Linked DNA regions of Stegostoma tigrinum. The protein of the gene in region 1 purifies or fractionates together with the protein of each later gene. This does not show direct contact. Links are inferred from orthologs where the notes say so. Each region holds a gene or a part of one and is shown on either strand. Other genes may lie near its edges.

Evidence for each region.
Region 2: the proteins of myo1ea (region 1) and ostf1 purify together in Homo sapiens (co-immunoprecipitation; 3 studies listed by BioGRID and IntAct, counting the BioPlex papers as one, with this or other methods). This does not show direct contact. The link is inferred for Stegostoma tigrinum from reciprocal best matches to the Homo sapiens genes MYO1E and OSTF1.

The regions. Positions count from the first base shown.
Region 1 is NC_081386.1:17,739,719-17,747,544, forward strand, and holds the start of myo1ea (unconventional myosin-Ie), read right to left. Parts: upstream 3,113-7,826; 5' UTR 2,719-3,112; coding exon 2,716-2,718; intron 1-2,715. Other genes in the region: protein FAM81A-like, read left to right, coding at 6,662-6,664. UniProt on the Homo sapiens protein: Actin-based motor molecule with ATPase activity. Unconventional myosins serve in intracellular movements. Their highly divergent tails bind to membranous compartments, which are then moved relative to actin filaments.
Region 2 is NC_081356.1:66,465,921-66,473,740, forward strand, and holds the start of ostf1 (osteoclast-stimulating factor 1), read right to left. Parts: upstream 3,271-7,820; 5' UTR 3,119-3,270; coding exon 3,085-3,118; intron 1-3,084.

The DNA.
Region 1 (7,826 bases):
AAGTATGTATGCAGTTCCTCAGCCATTTCTTTGTCCCCTATTAAACATTCCCCTGTTTCTGTCTGAAGGGACTTATTTTTGTTTTTACCAATCTCCTTCTCTTCATGTACCTATAGAAACTCTTAGTGTCAGTCCTTATGACAAGCTTAGTTTTGTGCTCTATTTTCCCCTTCTTAAATAATCCTTTGGTCGTTCTTTGCTAAATTCTAAACTGCTCCCAATCCTCAGCTGTATTATTATTTTTGGCCAAGCTGTATGGTTCTTCCTTGGATTGGATACTATCTCTGACTTCCTTTGTACGCTTTGAATTGGCTCTCTTACCCATTTTGCTTTTGTGACAGACAGGAATAAACAGTTGTTGTAGTTCCCCCATGTGTTTCTTGAATGTTTGCCATTGCCTATCCACTGTCATCCCTTTAAGTAATTCTCCCCAATCTATCAAGGCCAACTCATGCCTCATATCTTCATAGTTTCCTTTATTAAGGTTCATCCCCCTAGTCTGCAAATCACCAACCTCACTCTCCATCTTGATAAAAAAATTCTATCATGTTATGGTGCCATATGTATTGTGACGTAACTAATTCTATAAGGGTTCCACACGTCCATTTCAAAATAAATTAAAGGCACTCAAGGGTTTTGTTTTATATTCAGCTCACTGGGTCACTTTCTACGTCTTGTTGAATTGGACTCCAAAACAATTACCAATAGCAGTTGATACATGAACTCGAATCACAGATAATGCTACTTCTGAAGAAGGTCCCCACACAAAACGTCAACTTTCCTGCTCCTCTGGTGCTGCCTGGCCTGCTGTGCTCCTCCAGCTCCACACTGTGTTATCTCTGACTTCAGCATCGGCAGTTCTTACTATCTCTGATGCTATTCTGGCAGTTCATTATTAAATGCAATCATAGCTACTTGTCTTTATGGATAGGTAGAACATTTCAATAAATAGGAACTTTAAAAGCTTTCCTGAAGATAAAATCTAAAAGGTGATTAAACAAAATAAGTTGTTCACATTCCAAAACACAAAACTTGCATTAAATTTACAGCCTGGAAACAGGACATTTTGCTCAACTGGTCCATGCTAGAGTCCCTCAATACAAGCTTCCCACCAGTCTTCATCTGATCTTAGCAACATTCCGGCATTTTTCTTCCTCATTTACCTATCTGCCACGCCTTTCAGATATCTGAGGTCCAAGCATTACCTGAACACACTAACATTTAGGACACAGGCATGCTTGGAGATGGACACATTGCAGTCCATTTCTGCTGCTTGGCCTGCTGTGTTCTTCCAGCTCTTCACCTTGTTATCTCTTGCAATCCACTTGATTGCTTGCACATACTTACAATTTCTTACCACTCCCATCAAAATTGATGCATTGTTTCAGATAGGAAATAATACGTGGTGCTGGATGGGAAGCACAGAAATAAATAATACCAATAAAGCTAAAGACAATCTTAGAAAATTGCAAAGCTCTTATACTAAAGTGGGACTGAGAAGAAAACGAGATGAACTGTTCTAAGATTACAACATCTACAGACGACTTCAGGATCAGCCTTGATGAATAGATTGCTGTTCCTGCACGTGATAATCACAAAGTCAGTCAGTGATGAACATAAACAATGACCAGTGAGGCTTATCCAACACAATAGCTGCACACCAGTATTTGACTAGTTTCACATACGATCGCACACAGTAACATAAATAATACTCGTCAAAATTGTAGAAACAATCTACCATATGTATTCCAGGGGTTGGTCAACTTCGGTATATAGTTTAAAGATGCTTCTTGAATAATACATGGATATAAATATTTCGACGCTTTCCAGTAGGAGACATTTATTTCTCTTCAAAAGTGGCTCACTGTCACGTAAAGCTTAGAGTTTCATCCTTTTTTGATGACAATTAATTAGACTTTGAGTGGACAGATCAAGATAATCCAAATTGAAACTTTGTTGCCAGTTACAAAAGAATCGGGAGAGAAGGACAAGTCAGGAATCTTTAAAACGCAAAAACTGTTCCATCATTCCCGTGACCCGATGGTTTACTTTTGCTACAATGGAAGTAGCAACTATAAACAATAGTTTACCAAACCAAACCAAGTGCTGAATTAGTAAAACACCAGCCCGTTGAGTCTGCATGGTGACTTTTTTTCAGCAATATTCAATTATATAGAATAATACATTTCCCGCGACTTGTGGCCAATGCAGACTGGGCACAACATCACAACAAGTTTCCATTTCGTTTCCTATTACTGCGATCCTTCAAAAAGGAATCGCTTTAATTAAGGCAACTCTTTACTTGGATTGATGAAACTGGGATTGCCAGTTTCCTGCCCAGTTTAAAAAAAAACACTTTACGTGAGCTACAGGGAAAAATTAAGCACCTTGGGAGTTTGAATGTTTATTCCTGACCCGTTCTATTTATTGAACTCTGGACTCGTTCGGCATTGAAGCATTTCCTCCAACCTGTGGCTATTCCGTAGCTGCCCAGGGAGCGTTCCCTGCCGGTTACTTTCAGCGCAATTAGAAGGCCGGACTACCGCAGATTTTTAAATCAGTTTTGGAAACAGTCTTTTTGTTCGAAAGTCAAGCATTGGAACTGATCTGGTTGCCGCTGTACCGAGGATTTGAGTTCAGCATAGCTGTCCCACCGTGGGGGGAGATATCCTAAAGCCCTTTTCTATAGTCCACTGTTACAATGATCAGACTTACCATTTTGCTTCCTTGGAATTTATGCCGGCTCCGGGAAAAGTCTGCTGCCTAAATCGAGGCGGTGCCACCTACTGTATGCTCTTCACTGGCGATCTCCTGCTTCCGAGATAGAGTTGAACTCCATCTACTGTCGATCCTGGAGTCCACAGTGGAGGGAGGCATCAACATGCTGTGGGTGGATCCATGTTTCAAAGAGGAAGGGGGGGAAGAGAAAAGATGATCAAGTTTTTTTTTGGATGAATCAGGCCTTGTAGCTCCGGGGTGTCCCCGAGCGTTCTGCACTCAGAGAGGGAGGGAGGAATGGTGAATGATCGTCCCGGTGAATACGATAACTCTGCCAATCAGTCCATAAATGGAGAAATGTAGCCGAGTGGTGCAGCCAATCGGCTTGTCAGTGTAGCTCGTCACACCATTGGGAATGCGTAGAGGGAGAAGGAGCGAGGTGGAGCCGGTCTCAGGCGGCACGGGCAGTAATGTTCTCAGCCCTGCCCCTGACAAGATGCCACTGAAAACACACACAAAGCTTGCTGTCTGTAAGCCAACTGCCGTAAGGCAGAGTGTCTTATCCACACCTATATGATTTACAGTGATAATGTTTCAGCTTAATCATGTTACGTTTAATTGTCATGAAGCTGATATATCTTCACTATCATCTCTACGAAATCGGCACGTCTACTGTAGATATTTTTAAACAATGCAGCCAGAGACGTTATTACACACCAAGTCTTGAACCTAGATCTCCTGGCTCAGAGGTAGGGATGCTACCACTGCGCCAAGGGAGCCCAAAGATCTGCTATATACTTCGGACAATATCTAAAGAACTGCTGGAACTGAAAACAAACGCAGACAAATCTGAATGACACCAGGGCAGCACCTGTAGTGGAGACGATCACCCCTCTGTCTTTCAAGAGGTAACATTAGACGGGATCACAAGTCCCCAAAATAGTTACAAGCCCGCTCACTCCTTTAGAAAATCCTCTGATCTCAGGAAAGTACTAGGAACTGATTTGGACAGTTACAGGAAACAGGAGCAGGAGGGGGCAGTTCGGTCCCTTGAGCCTATTATTGCTGTTGAATGAAATGAAGATTGGTCATTCACCTCAGCACTGGTTCTAGACCCCCACAGGAAATGTCCTTCCTGCATCTATCTAATTAAGACAAACAAGAACTTCCTTTGTTTCAAGAAAATCACCGTTCATTTTTCTAAACTCTGGAAAATATGGGCTCGCTTTCCTCAGTCTTGCCTCACAGGACAGTCTTGCCACCCTGGGAATCAGTCTGATGAACCTTTGTTGCACTCCTTTCATGGCAAGTACATCCTTTCTTAGATAAGGAAACCAGAGTTGCTTACAATACTTCAGATGCAGTCTTACAAGGGCTCAATGCAGTTACATCAGGACATCTTCACTCATGTCCTCAATTCCTCCTGGGATAAAGGTGTAAATACATTTGCCTTGACTGCTTGCTAAACATCATGTTAGCTTTCAGTGACTCACCAACAAGAACACTTTTAGGCACCAATACTTCACAAACCGTCTCTGTCTAAGAAATAATATGCATTTCTGTTTTTCCTATGAAAGTGGATAACTTCACGTTTCTGATTTTATAATCGATCTGCCAGGTTCTTGCCCATCCAGTACACCTATCTAAATTCCCTCAACAAATGTGGAAATGTTACATTGGATTCCCATGTACAAATCATGGTAGAGATATTACGTTTAAGTATAAACAAACAGGATTGAGCATTGCAATCGCTATGATAATAAAACAGAGAATTTGACTCATTCCTTCACCAGGGTTAATTATTTGTTGTGAGGAATGGAAATTGTGATGCGGATTTACATTGGGAATGTGATCTGCCTTCTCTCTTTCCAGCATTCTCATTTTCCCAGCAGTTTATTACTTACTAGACAATAACAATTGACAACAGATGACTGTAAGTATATTTCTATGTATGGTGGTGGTGGGAAATGGAAAAGTTGGATTACAAATATGTACTTACATTTAACAGAATCTTGAACAAGATAAGACTTTTAAAAGTACTTGAGATACAGTAACATTTACCCAATTCCACCTCTACCAAGAAGGGCATGGTTAAAATATGTCCTTCAGCTCTGAATTCTGCTCAACTGTTTTATCCTCAAAACAGTATTATTTTTACAAAAGCAAAACACTCTAGAAGCTGGAAATCTGAATAAAAATGCTGGAAATACTCATCCAGTCTAGTAGCATCTGTGGAGTGAGAAACAGAGTTACAACTCAGCATGAATGTATCCAGATCTAAAGAGTTGTTTTCAAAAAAACTTTGTAAATCAAACCTTTTGAGATACTCTCTTGTGTCCTCTTTCACACTTAGGAATTAAATAAAATGAAAGGTTATATTAATATTAATACTTCAAGGTTTGAAGTATTGTGATAACATGCAATTAACCGATGAAAGGCACCCGCCTGAAACACTGAGATAACAAGGTGTAGAGCTGGATGAACACAATAGGCCAAGCAGCATCAGAGGAGCAGGGAGGCTGACATTTCAGGACGAGACCCTTCTTCAGAAAATCCACCTGAAACCTGAAACATTTCTGTTTTTCTCTCTCTGCACATTCTGTCAGATCAGCTGAGAATTTCCAGCATTGTCCATTTAATTTTTCATCACCTTGTGTATGTGTGTGTTTTCCCAAGTTTCCCTCAAAATTACACCAAATTGGCGTGGGCTTTTTGGTTTTCTCTGTAGTGGTGATATGTCCAAGGACAGGTCCTTTGTTCAGTTCTTCATGCCTCACAGCCCTGCCGCTTTTTGTTCATTTGCTTGTTAGACCCACCCATTTTCAATTTCATTGAGTAATATACAAAAATGAGTTGGAATCAGGAGTAGGTCGTCCATCTCCTTGAACCTGCTCTGCCATTGATAAGATGATGGCCAATCTGATTGTGGCCTCAGTTCTACCTTCCTGCCTCGCCCTAATAACCTTGAATTCCTTGATAATTACGAAAACTATCTAACTCAGCCTAAAAGAAATGACTGGGGAAAGGAAAGCTTAAAGAAAACACAAGTAGTCTTCTCAAAGGATCCTGTACTTATAAGCAACCATTATTTGTTGCGGTTCCAGCTTTTCTGCCTGAAATTTACTGGTTCTACCATTGTTTCCTAATCCTATTCATGGGATCCTCATCTATAGGCCCCAGGCTATTCACAAAAAGGCAGAAACAACCACCCAGAAATAGTAGGGACTGCCGATGCTGGAGCATCTGAGACAAAAAGTTGTACAGCTGGATGAACACAGCAGACCAAGCAGCATCAGAGGAGCAGGAAAGCTGACATTTTGGGTCTAGACCCTTCTTCAGAAAGAGTCTTCATTTTCTGAAGTCGGCTCTAGGCCCGAAATGTCAGCCTTCCTGCTCCTCTGATGCTGCTTGGTCTGCTGTGTTCATCCAGCTCTACACCTTCTCAGAAACAACCACCCCCATTCCGTAAGGTCTCAAGGGAGCCTGCCACTCCATTGACTCCAATATTCCCTATGACTCTAAATTCATGAACTTCCATTCTTTTGCTGTATATCGCTGCTTTCTCCCTCATGAATGAGCCACTTGTTGGCTTTTTCCCAGCCCAGGAGCATCCTGTCATGCTGCTCCTTGCTGGAGGTCAAGAAGCAGTCTCTCCGCCCGGACTGGGGCAAGTTAAAAACGCGACAATTCCCGGTTGCTGTGGCAACAGCGTCCGCGCAGGGACAAAGCGCCGCAACAGCGAACCGGCGGCGGCGACCAGATTGCACCCCTTCACCTCTGCAACGGGCGCGGTACAGCTTCAGTGAAAGCGAAAGAAAAACAAAACGCAATTTAAGAGGCGGATTAAGGAACCGCCTAAATATGTGAGGACTGATTTCTGGCGCGTGGCATCTTCGACTGCTGCAGGAAGCAGCTTCTTTGTGTCAATGTTTATCCCAGTTTAATGGTAAGGACTGTCTGACCTGTCATTCTCAAAAATAGTCATCACCCATTTCTGCAAGTGGAAATACAAATACTGTATGTATTTAGTGTGGCCCCACTATCACACAATCTATTCACATTAGTATTGTGCAACTCACAAACCGGTTTTGCCGACTTTTTGTATGTGAAGTAGATGTCGGTGAGAATACTCAAGAGAATTACGCTGATTTAGTAAAGAAATTGCCTCAGTTTAAATCTTTGATAGCACGGTGTGAAGCTGAAGGAACACAGTTCCTACTATCTCAGTTTAAATCTATGACGTTTTCGAAGCTGAACAGACGCTTTAAGAAAAATGATAGGATTTGAAATCCCCACGAGACTGAGGTAGAATCGTCCCTTTTAAAGTACATGGAATCACCTGCTGTTCAGCAGCAGGCAAGTTAGGCCAAATGCAAAATGAATGATTTGGAGGTGCCAGTGTTGGCCTGTGGTAGATTGTCGCGTGATTTCTGAAAATGAATGATTATCATCCATTCGCAGGTGAAACTTGATAAAATGAGTGCTTAGGTGCTGCATAATTTGATAAATCTACGTGAAGAAAGTTTGAAATTATACTGTGATGTGTGGCATTCCAGGACTGCTTTTTTGTGTTTGTCATAAATTCCTCTGAGCTGAATTTTGAACCATCTTAAGATCATATTTTTGTTAAGACTAGGAATGACAAAACTACATTATGTCTCTCACCTCCAAGTTGTTTTTCTTGTAGTTACTATACTATATTGTCATGAATTTGTTTTAATACCAACATATTCAGAAACACAATTTCAAAACTTCCACCTTCGTAATCCTGTTGGACCTTACTTCATCTAACTTCAACACATTTCTTCTCTTGTGTTCTTATTGGAACGTACGATTTAGGAGCAGGAGTAGAGTATTTGGCTCTTCAAGCCATTCATTAAAGTTATGGCTGATCTGGTAGTGGTCTCAACTCCACTTCCTTTCTGCCACCCCAACCCACCCCACCCCAATAACTCTTGCACTATCAAAAAGTCTGCCTGGAATAAATTCAGTGACTTCTTGGGAAAGAGAATTCTCTTTCCATGTAACTTTCTTGATGTCCAAAGTTTGCTAATCATGGTCCGTGTTCTGATATGACTGTTAGGCAAGGCTAAGAGACAGGGTTCAAG
Region 2 (7,820 bases), on another chromosome or scaffold:
TGTCTCAGCTCCTCTGGCACCAAAACTTTGTTACTTCTACACTGGAATATTCCAATACATTCCCCCACAGTCTATCCAACCCATGCCTGGGCAAGCTTTTTGGCCATCTAACCTAATCTCTTATGTGGTCCAGATTTCGTTTTGCAATGCTCTTGTGAAGCACCTTGGATATTTCATTAAATTAGCTCTATAAATGTAAAGCTTTAGTTCATTATCATCTACAAAACTATTTTTCATTGGCAAATTTTTAAAAAGCTACACATTTGTAATCAAAAGCACTATTCCCATCCCTGATCATTGCTGATGTACATGCTTTTGTGCTACTGATGTAGCATGTAACATGAATACCACAATGGGAACAAAGACTCTGTAGTTATATTAACAGTTAGACAACCACCCATCACCCTTTCATCAGAGCAATAGGTAAAAATACAATAGCCATTGAATAAAAAGGGACATTTTCTTAGCTCAAATATCGAAAAGACTGTTTTCAAGTCATAGCTACAACAAAGATTCCTTGTTCTCAAAGAAAAGAGCCTTCTGATCAGAAGAGGAAAGCCACTTTGGATGGGTTCTATTCCAAAACTGAGCTTTCAAATCGTGTCCAAAAACTCATCAACTTGAAGCTCTGTATTGGTGACTCTTCCCGACTGGAATAAAAGCTTAGATATGGCCCACAATGTCTCACTCAGATCAGATAACAACTCACTGAAATGTAAATATTTAAGATGTGTAATGTCTAGCTGCTAATTAAGTTACTAAAGCACTTTCTGCTCTCTGATGAAGGGTCAAGGTCTGAAACGTCAGCTTTTGTGCTCCTAAGATGCTGCTTGGCCTGCTGTGTTTATCCAGCTTCACACTTTGTTATCTCGGATTCTCCAGCATCTGCAGTTTCCATTATCTCAAGTTAATAAAGCCGGTTGTTTGCAGAGGCATGTAACCTCATCCACAAGGAACATAAGAAACACTGTCTGCCACATGTTTCATTTTGAGAAAGAACCTTCCCACTCCACTGCCATACGATCAATATTGTCCATTTAAGAAAGTGAATGGGAAATATTCTGTCTGAGACTTTTTTCAGTTTCCAAGACCCCAAGTTAGTTGCAGTCGTGCAATTCTGCTGTCTGGTACATTTGTTTGAAACTGTTCCATCACTAGGTGGTCATATCTTCAGTTAACCTAGGCCGCAAGTATTGAAATTTCTACCCCTGACCCACCACATTTCCTTTCTCCCTAGAAACTCTATTTGGGCAAGCTGTTCAACCTTATATGGCTTAATTTCAGAGTCTGTTCAATAACAATCCTGCTAAGTGTCTTGGGATAGTTCACTAAAATAAAGGTAGTATTCAAACACAGGCTGTGGTTATGAGTCAGGACTGAATCGCCAAACTATGAGCAGACATTGTGATGGACTCATACTGAGTTTTGAATTTAAAAGAAAATTCAATGACCAACTGAATATTTTCAGTTATCTCAAGAAAAGTTAACGTAAAAGTTAACACACAATGTATTTTTCTAGCAAAGTGAATCTGATAACAGCTATATAAAACAAAAGTCCAAACATATTTAAACATTAAGTAATTTCAGTGGCATTTGACAAGTCAGAGGATGCAGGTGCCCATTGCCCCTCACCCATCTCTGAAAAAATGGTTAAAAGAATCATATTTCTCAAACAAATTTCTATGAGGTTGATGGTGAACATTATCTGGAGAAATTCATACACGTACTTTTAGAATGACTCCCATTCATTGTTAGAATGAATCTTAGACTAAACAGGCAAAAGTTAAAGGCTTTTATTATCAAATGATGCAGATTGTCAGGACAGTGGTGAGATATAATTGAGCAGTAGTTCTAATTGGTACTAACAATAAGCTGATACATGGCATGCATAGTAAAGTGAGGAAAATCCACAGCAGTGGCAAAGTATGCTTAATGCATTAGTTCTGCTGCTACAGCACAAAACTGTAAATTCCACAAAAATTGCAATGTTCATTACTTTTATACAATAAATCTGCTTATTCATCTAAAAAGATGTCAATGACTCACTAGACAGATCATCACCGTGCTCCATCAGAAGAACTTAATTTGGCCTCACATAAACGAATACATACTGCTATATCTCAGGGTCACTCGTTTGCCATATTAAAAAAAAGGCCTGCATTCGATCAGTGCGATGGCCCACTTGGTCAGGCTCCAGATACATTGATCAAAATTGAAGAGCTAACATGGGACTGAAGTGCCAAAAGTGTTTGCATATTTCAAGAATTGGTTTGGGTGGTCAAATTGTGCTGTTATGCAACTGTTAAATTTCCTGTTGCACCAGTCAAAATCACCGTGTAATTACATCTCCCAAGCAAATAAACCTCTCCCGGTTGTGGTGCAAAAATTCTTCAAGATCAGTAAATCACATAAAACATAGTTTAATTCATGCTTCTAAGTCATATTTGAAGAAAGCCTCATAATTAAGATAGTTAGTGGTAACCCACAAATGCGAGTTGTGCATGCACAAAGAATGACACACTGACATTTGAAAAAAATTGTTGTAGAGCCATTGAACCACCAGATCTTGGAAGATGGTTGTTTTTATATTAACACGAGGTCACAATTTGACACCACAAATAAACGCAAACTGAAAGGTGTTAAATATTTACAGTATCCCTTCTAGCCAGAGTAGAGCTGCGAATTTGTCAATCACAGGGGCGACTACTCGCGCACCCCACCCGTAGAATTGAACTGCTTTCAAACCAAGAGGAGGGGAAGCAAGGCTTAGAGATTTACCCGCACTTACACCAAAGTCTTTACATTTATTGCGCAGTAAAGTACCAACAAGGGTCTGAGTGGAAAACAATTAAACACAGTAAAAAGAACACTTGGAGAATTTTACATGAAAACCACAAGAATGACAAGTGGATTGGACTGCGTTGAAAATTCAAGAGCTCAGAGATATGATGACAGCCATAAAGAGGTGTTTCAGACTGTTCTCCGGGAAAATGTGGCAACAACTTCTCTTTTGGGGAGAAAAGACCAGGAGTCAATCAATTTGACTTTAAAGTCTCACAAGCCTCGAAAGAAACGGCACCTTACCTGGTTTGGCCGGTTTAGGCGGCGGTTTCGACATTATTGCTACAGTTGATTTGTAATTTTTTCCGATTAAAACAAAGTCGAAAATCACTCTTGCCACACAGTCTCCTCAGATATTACACCGTATTGAGGAACTGTCGAGTGTGGGGTGTAACCCGGAAGTTCAGGCAGAGCCGCCCACCGGCCCTTACGCTGAGCGTGATGACATCGGCAGCAGTGTCCGCACCCCTTCACGTTGTGCGCAATGATGTCTTCGCCTGCCGTCTCCCACCCTGCCGTACGTGATGGCATCATCGTTCGGTGTCTCGTCCCTCGCCGAGCGTGTAGACGTCACTGGTCCTATGGGAGAATGAGATGAAGCAGGTAAATGGTTGGCCTCTGACATGAAATATTAACGGATTTTCAACTTTAAAACTCCCTGTGATCTGTTGGGCATCCCTATAAGTGTAGGTTGGGAAGGTGAAGCATGAGAGCCCCTTCTTTTGCGGCCGCACACCCCTTGCCTGTAGGGGGTTTACTTTCCTTTCCCTTTGAATGGTTCTCGAGCTTATACTGATCCCAAAGCGCGAGAAGGAGAGTTTACTAATTGAAAGACGTGCAAGGAATTTTTTTTATCCTCAAGAGTGTGGTTCTGAGGCTTCGGATGATTAGAAGAGTTAAAGAGTCAGGCGTTGTATCTCGTGAATATTGCTATGGGCAGGGGAATGAGATTACAGAGTGAACCAGGGTAACTGACAGTGAATGATTTCTTCACAATGCTGAAATAGAAGCGACGGTGTGTTCAGTGGCATCTTAACATGGCAATTAACAATCGCAACGGCTGACAAATTCAACGGGAAATGCTAGTGGAGTGGAGTGGAGATCAAAACAAGAACTCTTGAGGTTTCTGGAATGGAGGGGAAATGCTGAGGGCCGGAGTGTATGTAATGAGACAGGCAAGATTGAGGGCCCTGGCAATCTCTTTGCAGAGAAATCCGCAAAGAAAAAAGGAAGTTCTATCCAAAACACTAGTTGCATTAGCTGAACAGGTATGCCAGCAAAACTAACAATGGAACAGTCAACATTGGAATCAATTTATGAGAAAGTGTATTCAATTTTCTTTGGTAAGTCACGGGTCTTTCGGTAAGCAACAGCTGTATCCCACAATTTGACCTGTTTAAAATATTGTCATTGGATATACTCTTGTTCCCTGCTCTCCAGTTTTGACCATGAGTGATCCACACACTGGTGTTGGGTGTGGGTAATCTATGCTGCTTAATGTCTAAGCCAATTTATTTCAAAGCCCCAGAACTCTAAATCCAATCTTAAATTCCACTTTAATCATATTAAAATTACATTTCTCAAATATGCAAGAGGTCAATCAACATGCATTGTAAATTTACTTGAATATTGTGATACCAATAAAGCTTACTTTGATACAACTAAAATATTATGAGTTTTGCTTCCAGTTGAACAAAGCCAACTTCTGTTAAACCAGTTCTCTCAAAATGTGATATATATCTCTGGAATAACTTCGAAGCAACACTTCTATTGAAGGAATGTAAGTCTTATCCTAGTCAGTTAATCATACTATATCGTTACAGAAGGAGGGTATCACAGCTACAAAAGAAATAGTGTTTGTGAAGCTTGATTAGCTCTGCACTCACACAAAGCCAAAAGCTCCTTTTTTTTGATATATTTGACTTAAGTACAATGATGAAGCATCCTTCAGTCAAGTCTGGGACATCAACTGGAGTGGAGATTATATCGTGAAGAGGAAATCAGTCACATCCACCTATTTAAGGGTTTTTCGATCCATCTTTTTTATTTCTCATGGCAGGTTCAAAACAATGATGAAATGAAGTTGAAAATACACAGTCGTTGGCACCTTCATCAAACTCTGCTGTGAGTTCCAACCACAATTTGGTTCCTGATCCATTTTGTTAACTCTTGAGTTGCATCAAATTAGCTGGCATAAAGCATTCCTAAATGTTTTTCTGTCCAACGACCAATAAATGGAGTGATAAGTGAGAAAATGCTTACAATAACTTCTTGATTGGTTCAATAGTTTGTTAATTTATTATTTAAAAATGATGGGCAAACTTCTACTTTGCATGCCCTCTTTTCCCTGAGAAAGGACACCTGTGTGTTTATGTCAGATTTGCAAATCTAATCTGTAGTTATTCGTGCACACAAAACAAACACTGTTGGTGAGACATTTGTAAAGTCTCACTTCATGAATTATGCTGAAATTGAGTGAGATTGAATTCTGGCCTCTTTCAACTGACTGTCAGAGGTTTAACAGTCCTCTGCTCCTTGTGCTGTGATTTTGGGGGTGAATGGCCCCGTGCTCCCGCTGCTTTGTGTGCAACCCATCTTGTCAAAGTTAATAAATTCACAAATGACAACAAAGAATTGGAAACATTGGAGATCTGAAATGAAACAGAAATAGTGGAGAAACTCAACAGATCTACCAGATCTATTGAGAAAGAAGCAAAGTTAATATTTCAAGTCAGCATGGCTCTTCTTCAGAACACAGAATTAAAATTAGTAATTTGGCTTTTTGCTGTCTGGAGTTACGGGACTCTGTGACTGCATATGGTGCTCAATGGCTCCACTGTCACAATATTGTTCAGAATAAGGTGCATGGTACTAAGAGGAGGGCGATATTCTGTAGAGAATCTGCTTTAGCAGTTGAGAATAAAGGGATGACAATGGGGAAGCAGTCAAAGATAAATTTAAATAATTCATGAAGAAGTTACGTGAAATCTTCCCCTAAACAATTTAATGAAATTTTAAATGTTTATGATTTAAAGCAAGTAGAAATTAAGTATTAAAATGTGAGGAAATACTTGCATTTAAACAGTGCCCTTTGCAACATCCGGATATCCCAAAAATCTTTATAGCCAGTGAAGTACTTTCTGAAGTATTGCACACAAAAGAGAAGGAATAGAGCAGAGATCTGAAAAGAATAGGAAAAGTAAATTACACATCGCAGAAATCGAAACATGATGTTAATGCCAGAACAGCAAAAGAACCCGAGGTTTTTTAAAGCAGATTTATAAATCAGTTGTCAGTGTACTAAATTTTTGTGTTTTATATTTATAGCATCTGTTGAGAACTAAAAGAGCAGAAGCACAAAGGAGAGAGATAAGACCTCAATGATCCTGCACAAGAGAAGCTGTTGAATAAATGGTGAGTTTTTTTTCTTTCACACTTCAATGTATCTATAAATTAATAGCTTAATACACACATTGACATCTTTAAGCATGTGGATTGTTCATCCTGCATCATGTGGAAATCCAGGACATTTCATTTATCCTAGATAACCACATGCAGGAAGTGATGGCATCCGGGAAGCTAGAGCTTCAGTCTTCAGAGGTTCAGAAGTAGCTGGGATTACTGTCGTGCATTCACACTGTTTTGATAACATTTTGCGACACATTTCCCCTGCAGTTTAAAAGTGTGCAGGCAGGGAGGTACTGGGACATAGCCAACAGATAAAAAGGATCAGGCAGATATTGTCATAGTCTTCCAAAGACTTTCACTCACTAACCAGTATTGAGTTCTAATGAAGAAGCGGGTTCGTTTAGAGAATACAGCCAGGGCCATGGCACCGTGAGTGGCTCTGCTGTACATGGAAACAGCTGAAAGATCAGAAGAGCAATAATGATTGTGTATTTTATAGTTACGGGAACTGAGATGCTCTTCTGCAGGTGCAGATGAGATTTCAGGATGGAAAGTTTCCTCCAAGGCACCAGAATCAGGGATGCCCTGTGCAGTTTCAGGGAATTTTGAAGGAGGAGGCTGAACAGCTGCCAGTTCTCATTTCAGTACCAATGACATAAGCAGAAAGTGGAATGGAACTTCTGCAGCCTGACATTTGGGAGGAAGGAAAGAGAATAAATAAGCAACATGTTAGAAACAGCAACTTCCAGATTTATCTTGATTCACACACGAGCGAGAAGAAATATAAGAGGTTGGAGTAGATGGATATGTGGCTGGAGAGATGATGCAGGAGAGCACTTTTCATTACAGAGATATTGGATCAGTTTTGAGGGATGAAGCTCGACAGTTGCTCCTGAAGCAAGTCAGGACCAATGTCCCCATGGTTGGTTTGCTCTTGTTTTAAGGACAGTTTAATTTAATTTGACTGGCAGATGATAATCAGGTTTAGTATTAGTAAGGAGAAACATCGTGTACCAAGGATTGAGAGAGCTGTGGTAGCTTTAGGATAAAATATAGTAACTACTGGATGGAATCAGGCCAAGATAGTGTACAATAAGGTGGAAGATAGTTTTTTATTGCATGTTTGTAAATGTACAAAGCATGACAAATAAATCCTACCTGACCTGCTGAGGATTTCTAGAATATTCTATTTTTATTTCAGCTTTCTGACATTTGCAATATTTTGCTTTTTGTTTTATTGAGGAAAGGCATTGCTAATTTGTTTCTAATAAGCTGGATCAAGCGTCTGGGAAATGTTAAGCCATGGGCGAGAAGCACCCTAGAATATATAAAAAAACTAATAGAAGGAGGACAGGTTGCAGTGATTTCAAAGTAAATTTGTCCCATGAGAATTGGAAGCAGACAATTGCTAGGAAAGACCATTTCAATGTGATGTCTTGAAAAGGGGTGGCTCATGGCCAGTCGATGTATTTGCCCACAGGGGAAAAGGAACAAACAAAGCCAAATTTCAATGGATAATAAAAGCACTAGAGCATTAGCTGAAGAAGGAAAAAGAGTGCATATGGCATGTG